2 linked regions of the Ovis aries genome follow. The protein of the gene in region 1 interacts with the protein of each later gene in a pairwise test. Links are inferred from orthologs where the notes say so. Each region holds a gene or a part of one and is shown in the gene's direction. Other genes may lie near its edges.

Region 1 (4,472 bases):
AGCTCTGGGACACAGACCTCTTCATCCTCATCCTCAGCTTCCTACTCGAAAGGGGAACCCACACCCGGGAATGTGACCCAGAGTGCATGTTGGTCTGTGCAGGGACACACAAGGGCCCAGAATCCCCGAGCTCTGCTCTTAGAGCAGACACACAGGCAGAGTCACTGCCAACCACTGTCTGTTGCCTTCTGGAAACTTCAAACATCCCTGCTAGTCTAGGTGTGATCCTTGGACCACAGTAAGGGCATCACCTGGGATGCTTCAGACTCTGACAGACCTGAGGCACAGCCCACACTTTATCGGGGTCCCAGGGTAACTAGTGGACACCAGTTCTTTCCCAGCTTCACATTAGAATCACTCTGAGGGTATGTAAGAAATCCCCAGGCCAGGAACCGACTTCCCTGATGGCTCAGTGGTAAAGAACCTACCTGCCAGTGCAGGGGGCATGAGTTTGATCCCTGGTCCAGGAGGATCCCTCATGTTGAGGAGCAGCTAAGCCCCTGCACCTGTGCCCTAGAGCCTGGGACCTGCAACTGCTGAAGCCCCGCCCCGGCTCCCTAGAGCCTGTGCTCCGCAACAAGAGAAGTCACCACAAAGAGAGAGGCCTGCACGCTGCAACTAGAGTATCCCTGCTCTCTGCAACTTGAGAAAGCCTGCTCGAAGCAGCAAAGACCCAGTGTAGCTGAAGTTTTAAATTAAAAACAAAAAAGATCTCCAGGAGCTTCTGTTCCTCTGTGAACTTTTCAAGGGACCCCGATGGTGTGGCCAAGCTGAGAATCAGGGCTCTGCTCTCTCCCACTGGGTGTTTTTTCCTTTCTCTATGAGCCCCAAGGTCACTGACCTCCTGGGGACCAAGCCAAGCCATCAGGGTTTCCCTCTGGACAGCACTGGTCTTGTGCCCCACTTTACCCCCTCTTTGCCAGCCTCCCAGCCACCCCCATTTTCCTCCTTCCCTAGTCCTCTGGGAACCTGGACACTGCCCACCCACCCGCCCATCAGCAAATCTGCCACCCCACCTGGGCCATCGGCCTGTGTGACAGCTGTCCCCGCAACAAGAAGTCCTGAGTCCTGCTCAGAGCTGGAAATCGGGACTGCAGAGAAGTGTTGAAATGAGGAAGGCATGTTGAGGCAACACGGGCCGGCAGGAGGGCCTCACCAACCCGGCTCACTCCGACTCCTGAGTAAGCGTGAAGCTTACCATGCCCCTTCCCTCCTGAGAACTACCCCTCCCCTCCCACGGAGGCCTTGGCTGGAGGTGTCCTTGGCCTGCCCCTGTTGGCAGGAGGCCCTCCTGGCCTGGCACAAGTCCTCCCTGGGGTTCGGAGGCCAGCACATGGCAGCGGAATCTAGAAATGAGTGACTGTTGGGAGGGATTCTGCTAACAGGATGCCCAAAGCTTGCAGGGCAGGACAGGAATTCAAGAAGCACTGACAGGATCTGAGACCAGGCTGGGGCTGTCCCCGCCTCTGCCCCTTCCTCCCCTCCCCTCCCCGCCTGGCCAGCAGACCCCACCCCGTGGAGCAGAAGCCACAGTCACTTCCTGAATGCAGCAGTCCTGGCCTGGGTCCCACTCGCCTTGTGGTCCATCACCCTCCTGCAGCCATGGTGAGTGAGTCTCCAGGGCCTGGGAGAGCCCCACACTGGCTGGAGGTGAGGGATGCCACGGGTGGAAACCAGAGGGGCATATTCCAAAAGCAGGGTGGCAGAGGGGCAGGAAAGCTGTTGGGGACATGAGAATGACCGCCACAAATGCCCAGGGGTTAAGAAGCAGCCGGGATCCACTTCTGGGACAACTCAAGCTCCGAGGGGCGGCGATGAGCTGAGGCTGTGACTAGAAGGGGAACGGGTGGGCCTGCTGGGGTGACTCCCCTCCCCCCAGGTCAGCATGAACAGCCACCGGGTAACAGGCAGCCAGGGTGAGTGGCAGGGGCTTCCTGTGGGTGACAAAGTAGGTCATGTAGCTGCTGCCCACCCCGCCCACCCCAGCAGTCCTCCAGGGCCTGACCTGCTGATCTGCCTTCTCCAGCCCTCTGGGTCACCTAGGAGCCTATCCCAGCCCAGCTTTCACAGAGGTTTCTCAGGCCCCAGGCAGGAACTGCCACCCTTCCTTGTTCTCTGGGTCAGGGGAGAGTGAAGCTCAGACAGGGCAGATGAGTGAGGTCCTGCCCTTCCCCTCCCCAATCTCCTAGACCCCAGGTGAAGCCAGGCCCAGGGGCCAGTGGCAGGGCCACTTCTGGGGTCAATTGTCGGTCAGAGCAGCCCTGGCCTACTTGTGTGTCTCCTGTGTCTGTGACTGAGGGTGTGGGTCCTGTTGAGACAGGATCGAGATGGACTTCATGCGCCAGGGCTGGTGCGCCACATTGGACTGGATGTGGCAGAGTATATGCTGCTCATCTCGGTGTCCGGTGTATATATATAGATAGATAGATACATATTTTGCCATGCCGCACGGCATCATGTGGGATCTTAGTTCCCCAACCAGGGATCGACGCACCTCCTGCGTTGGAAGCATGAAGTCTCAACCACTGAGGCACCAGGGAAGTCCCTAGTAGATTCTTTATTTCAACAAATAGTTACTGAGCATCTTACTGAGTGTGAGGCATTGGGAAGACTGCCCTCATGTCACGTTCAGGGGCAGGGGGGAGGCAGTTCACACACACACACACACACACACACACACACACACACACACACACACACAACCCTAAACAGTCAAGGCACATTTAAAAAACAGTATTGGGGGCAGTGTAGCAGTTACGACTCCTTGCTTCCAATGCAAGGGGCACTGGTTCAATTCCTAGTTGGGGAACTAGCATACCATGTGCTACGTGGCATGCCAATAAATAGTAAAAAAAAAATAATAAGTATTAGGTAAAAATAAATAGGATGATATAGAGTGCTAGGCACTAAGAGAAAAATTAGGCAGGTTGGGGGGATCAGAGAGTCCTAGGGGAATCCTTTTTTTTTAAATCAGGGTGTTCTGGGAAAAAAGGCCTCTATCATATGGAATAAAGGAGTAGAAACTCGGAAGAGGAGAGACCATGCAATGGGAAGTATGGCCCAGGCAGGCCAGGTGGCAGGAGCCAAGCAGGAGAGGGAGGCCAGGGAGGCAGCACCAAGGGGAGGTCAGGCGTGCCGTCCGGGGGGTTCGTGAGCGCTAGAGCTCTTACTGTGGGCAAGCGACAGAGCACACCCAGATTCGGAGCAGAGGACAGACAGACTCAGGCCGCCTCTGGCTGCTGCGGGCACGCTGACCGGGAAAGGGGGTGTGGGGCATCGTGGGCAGGAGGAACGAGGAGGAGCCTCTTACAGCAATCCTGTTGCAGGGGAGGCCGCCTCCCCTGGGTGGATTCCAGGACAGGGGTGCAGGTGGTCCAGAGTTGTTCAGTTCCAGATATACTAATACACATGTCTTGCTTTTGGCTGCACCGGGTCTTAGTGGTGGCACGCGGAGTCTTCCGTTGAGGCAGTTCAACTCTTTGTTGTGGCATGTGGGATCTACTTCCCCAAACAGGAGCTAGGAGACTTAGCCACCTGACTGCCAGGAAGTCCCTCCAGATACATTTTGAAATGAGAAAAGAGAGGCCTAGGGACATGCAGGAGGGGAGGAGCTTGAGGATGCTCCACGGAGTTGGGTTGGGGGCGGGAATGGGAGCAGAAGGCCACATGGCACCCCAGGAGCTCGGGTCCGGAGTGGGGTGAGGTTGGGTGCACATTCCGGGCTTAAGTGACGAGGTCAGACGGTGTGTGGTAGTTCAGGAAGAGAGCCTGGCACTCTCACGGGGAGGCTGGAGACAAAAACATGGGAGTCTGGTCAAGAGAAGAGAGTCAATGGCAGAAGGCCGGGAAGAGGACGACAAGGGTGTGTGTCTGTGATTCGTCCGCTTATCCCCACATCCGTCTCTCCATGGCCCCCATGTGTATGAGTCCCTTGCCTGCCTGTGTCCCCTAGGGGAGTCATCAGGACTTCCGGAGCCTTCAAGCAAAGTTCCAGGCCTCTCAGCCGGAGACTGGCGACCTCCCCAAAAAGCCCCCGAAGACTGAGTTCCACAAACTCCTCAAAAAGTTCCCACAGCCAGAGCTAGGCGAGCACCCCAAGAAGCCCCCACAGCCTGAGTTCACTGACCTGCCCAAAAAGCCCCCCAAACTTGAGTTCAGTGAACTCTCCAAGAAGTTCCTGCAGCCCGAGGCCACGCCACTTCCCAGGAAGCCTGAGGTCCCTGAGGCCCCCTCTCAGAAGACCCCACAGCAGCCTGAGCTCAGCAACACCCCCAGGTCCCCCGTGGAGCCCAAGTTCAGTACTCTTCCCAAGAAGCCCCCGCAGCCTGAGTTCTGTGGGCTCCCCAGAAAGCCCCCGCAGCCTCAGGCTGGTGGCCTCCTTAAGAAGCCCCTGCCCCAGCCCGAGTCCAGTGAGGTCCCTCCAGTGCCCCTCTTAAAGCCCGAATTTGGTGAGCCCCACCCCCACTCCTCAG
Region 2 (4,164 bases), on another chromosome or scaffold:
TCTCCTTGCCCCCATCTCCACATCCACGGTTCTGTCATTATTTCCCCTGAGGTTACTGTAAAAGGCACTTCACCCATCTTCTCTGTTTCCTTTCTCTTACTACTCCCAATCCTTTCCACATATTCTAGTGTACATAGAATCTGATAATAGAAACTATTTTTTACAAAGAAGGAAACTGATAGAGGTGAAGTGAGATGTGCAGGGGCTCAGGTTAGCTCACTCCCCATCTCAAAATTTGTCTGTGGCTCCCAATGTCCACTCAAATGAGTTCAGAATCCTTACCCTTTCAAGTTCCCTCACAGTAGAACTTTACTTTTTCTTGACAACTATTTCCCTACACCAGCCAGAAACTGCCCTGAAGCAGGAGAAGTCTTTTCCATCTTTGTTTACTCTGGTCCTTCCACCTGCGCCCTTGCCCCTTCAAAGTGTGGTGTCTTCAGAGCCATCTCAAATGCCACATGCACCATTACACCGCACACACATTTTCCCTCCTTTTCTTATATTCATCTCCCTCCTTGTATCACCCCATGGCACTTTATACTTTTTTCATGACACTTGCCCTATACTTAAAACAACAACAACAACAACAACTTAAGATAACTGTGGATTCACAGAAGTTGTGATGAATAATCCAGAGTGGTCCTGTTTCCCCAGGTAAAATTGTGCAATATCACAGGATATCACAGCTAGGACACCTGACACCTACATACTCTGAATGAGAAGGAAGCCCACTTCTGTTATCTTGTCCTTCACTTTCCTCCCTTTTAAACTCTTACAGGGAAAGGGCTGGATGCTCCTCTCCTTTAGCTTTCTCTCTGGGTTACCGCTTCTTTTTCCTCTCATCCTTTTAGCCTTAGGGAAGGAAGGGATACTTTGCCTCCGTGTTTCCATTGCAGAGGGTCTGCTTTGAGTCTCCCTGAAGTTGGTGACTTGAGATTATTTATTGGGACTTATGATCATTCCCTCGAACAGTCCTGGTTTGCCTGACCCACGGTTCTGCCCTGGTTTTCCGGGCTTGGACTCGCGAACTGAGTCGGGAATGACTGCGGCCCGGCTTGGCGGGGACTGACCCTGTCCTCGGATTCCACCTCCTCGCGCCTCATCTCGGCCCCACGGTGGCTTCTCCACCTGCCGGCGAGGCCCGCGGTCCCGAGCTTAGAATGGGGAGCGCCCGGAGGCGAGGTGCCTGGAGTCGCGTCGCGTCTTTGTTCTGACAGGGAATGGGGGCCGCGGGGCGGGCACCTCCTCCCTGGGGCGCGGGCGTAGGGGCGCGGGCCCCGCGCACAGGTGTCGCCGCCGCCCAGGCGCCCCGCCCGCCGCGCGCCGCTTCCTGAGCGCGCCCCGCCCTGCGGCTCGGCCCCGCGGCGCCGGCGACTGAGGGCCAGGTGCCGCCGCAGCCGCCCGCCCGCCCGCCAGTCCGCCCGCCCGGCCCTCTCCCGCCGCCCGCCACATGCAGGCCGCCGCCGCCCTCCCCGAGGAGATCCGTTGGCTCCTGGAAGGTAACGCCCCGCTGGCCCGGGCGCCGCCGAGCCCGCCGGGAGTCGCACGTGCCGAGCCGGCAGCAGCCGAGACGCCAGCGGCTCCCAAGGCCGGCCTTCCCCGTCGGCTCCCTCCCGCCTTCTAGAACCTCGAGGCTGCTGCCGGAGTCCTGACTCTGCAGAGCCAGCTGTTCACCCCTCGCTCAGGGGTCCCGTTCACTCCTAGTAACACATTTTCTTTTCCCTCAAGGCGTCTCCACCTCCCACTTAGCCTCCCGGCTTCTCAGCAAGTTCTGGCCGGGTTCAAGGTCCCCGGGCCGCCGCGGCTGGCCTTCAGCCTGTCCCTTTCTCTTCAGGACGCCCTGCGTCTGTGGGTTACGCGCTGGCCCCTCTCCAGCCCTGACTGTGTCCCTTCACAGGGAACCCTGACCTTCGTGCTTAGAGCTCCCCACGGTCTCACGGGGCTGTTAGGGCTCAGGGGCTCCTGTCGGCCAAGGCCTGGACACCCAGACCTCAGGCCCCCTTCACCCGCCCACAGACTCCCTCTTGCCCCGGGTCGGATCCCAGTGTTACATCTCTTCCCTTTCTAGAAGTGCCCCATTGCGGTGTGTTCACCCTCAAACCGTAGAGCCCATCAGTCCTTGTAAGAGTTAAGGCCATACTCACTAACACTCAACACATCCCGCTGTAACACTCCAGAGACACTTTTTGCTAATGGGCAAGATCTGCTTGCCTCCCACTTTTCCTGGTGAAAAAGTATTAATAATTTGCTTTTCCTGTAACCGACCTTCCTGGAAGGATGGGGACCTGGAATCTGTGTTTGCATAAGGGTCCCAGGAGGAAACCGCTCAGAATTAAGCCTTTTGGTATAGAGGTGACATTTTTGACACATACTTAACAGATGGCCTGTTTTCGGCAGGTCATAGTTTTGGCAAGCAGTATGTTTTTTTCTCTTCAGTTTCTCTCAATTTAATTGGTTTTATATCTCCATTACCATGTTATCTTGGTATAAATGCCTCCTAATCAAATATTTGGCAAGTCTTTTCAGTCTGTTTGTAGCGCTGTTTCCATTCTGGGTTGCTTCCATAAAAGCTGTCAACTACGTGTTTCTTATGAAATGAAGTTTCCAAAATTTATTTTGCTTGCAACCTGAGTGAATCTAAATTTTCAGAATAGAGAAGTATTTGTGGGGTAAAAGAGCATCATCTGGATGTCTAGAAGGAACCCAGCCTTTCCGTCTGCTGTTGGCTCAGTAATTCCAAATATAAAGAGAGTCTGTACTGTGTCTGGTTTCCAGGAGAGAAGGAACCGTGGCAAAAAGTTTCATTCTGCTTGCAGTTAAAGATATAAACAGATTCTTTTTATTGATATCTGTCATTTGTTGAGAGGAAACCTGTTTTACAAACTAGTTAAACTATACTTAGATTTTGTTTACAGCCTTGATAGAAAATTCCTTTTTATTTTCAGAGGCTTACAATGACATCCACTCCTTCAGCATTTTTGATGTGCAGTTCTTTATTGTTCAAAACTGACACTTTGGTAAACAACTCATTTCTGCACCTGCCACCTTCCTTTAGTTTAGATTATTTTCTTGTTAGCTGACTGTTTTTAATTGAAGTCTTCAGATCTCCTCCTAAAGCAGAACCTTTGTTTGCTGACAAGTAGAGCAGAGTATGAATGGAGATTAATTGCATGTCACATACTTCTGTATCAAACTTGCTGTGTCTTAACAATCTGTGTTGGTGCTCGGGTCTTTGGAATATATAGAACAATCCAAGATTAAATTCTAAGAAGCTATGTTGGTTAATGTATTACTTTAAGGCTCCCCCTTTTTTTTTTAAAGTATGTAATTAGAGTCTGAATCTGAAGTAGAGAAAAAAAATGTGAAAGTGGAATTCAACCAATAATTCTATTGAAAAATGTTTGAAGAATATACTTTTGAAAGGTTTGTGTAATCATAGCAACATATTGGTTGTAGGTTTTGTTTTTTATGGAACACATTCTCTGTTGTAGACCAACAGAATTATTCACTGGACTACAAATAGTTTGTAAATATTAGAAGCCCATAATGGCTATCAATTTTTCATCTGTTGCTGTTTGTCTTCCCCCACCCACCCCCACACACACTTTTTAAGGTTAACTGCTGACAATTAGAAAATATGTAGGTCCTGATCTCTATATTGTCACTCAGTGGAGGGAGTCATAGGGTGAGAGTGCTGCTACTTCAATGCTGCCACAGGCTGTGGGGGTGGAGTTTCCACAATGAATTACTACTTTCATAAACCAAGCCATAAGCATTTGCACCGTGATTTAATGCTGGCCATCACAGCCATAACTTTAGCATTTATTTATTTATAACTACAAGAGCATAAATGACAGGGGCGTTTTTTGACATAATGTGTGTGCTTTGAAAAATAAGATATGCAAAGCATTATGAAAGGTTTATGCCAGATTTTGCATATTGAAGAAGGGAACAGAAACGCTGAAGGTCTAAAATTAATTTTAAGGATAAAATTTTAAACATTTGACCAAGAAACTCCACTCCTAGGAATCTATGTTAATGAAAGTAAAGAACATGAAGTATATATTTTTGTTTGTTTGTTTTAGTCGCTAAGTTGTGTTCAACTCTATGGACTGTATAGCTCATCAGACTCCAGAATACTGGAGTGGGTTGCCATTTCCTTCT

The links.
Region 2: the proteins of PRAM1 (region 1) and SKAP1 interact in binary tests that used the Homo sapiens proteins (3 or more experiments, as listed by UniProt). The two-hybrid records come from large-scale screens. The link is inferred for Ovis aries from reciprocal best matches to the Homo sapiens genes PRAM1 and SKAP1.

The regions. Positions count from the first base shown.
Region 1 is NC_056058.1:14,847,995-14,852,466, reverse strand, and holds the start of PRAM1 (PML-RARA-regulated adapter molecule 1), read left to right. Parts: upstream 1-1,546; 5' UTR 1,547-1,602; coding exon 1,603-1,605; intron 1,606-3,952; coding exon 3,953-4,472. UniProt on the Homo sapiens protein: May be involved in myeloid differentiation. May be involved in integrin signaling in neutrophils. Binds to PtdIns(4)P.
Region 2 is NC_056064.1:37,789,319-37,793,482, forward strand, and holds the start of SKAP1 (src kinase-associated phosphoprotein 1), read left to right. Parts: upstream 1-1,355; 5' UTR 1,356-1,450; coding exon 1,451-1,499; intron 1,500-4,164. UniProt on the Homo sapiens protein: Positively regulates T-cell receptor signaling by enhancing the MAP kinase pathway. Required for optimal conjugation between T-cells and antigen-presenting cells by promoting the clustering of integrin ITGAL on the surface of T-cells.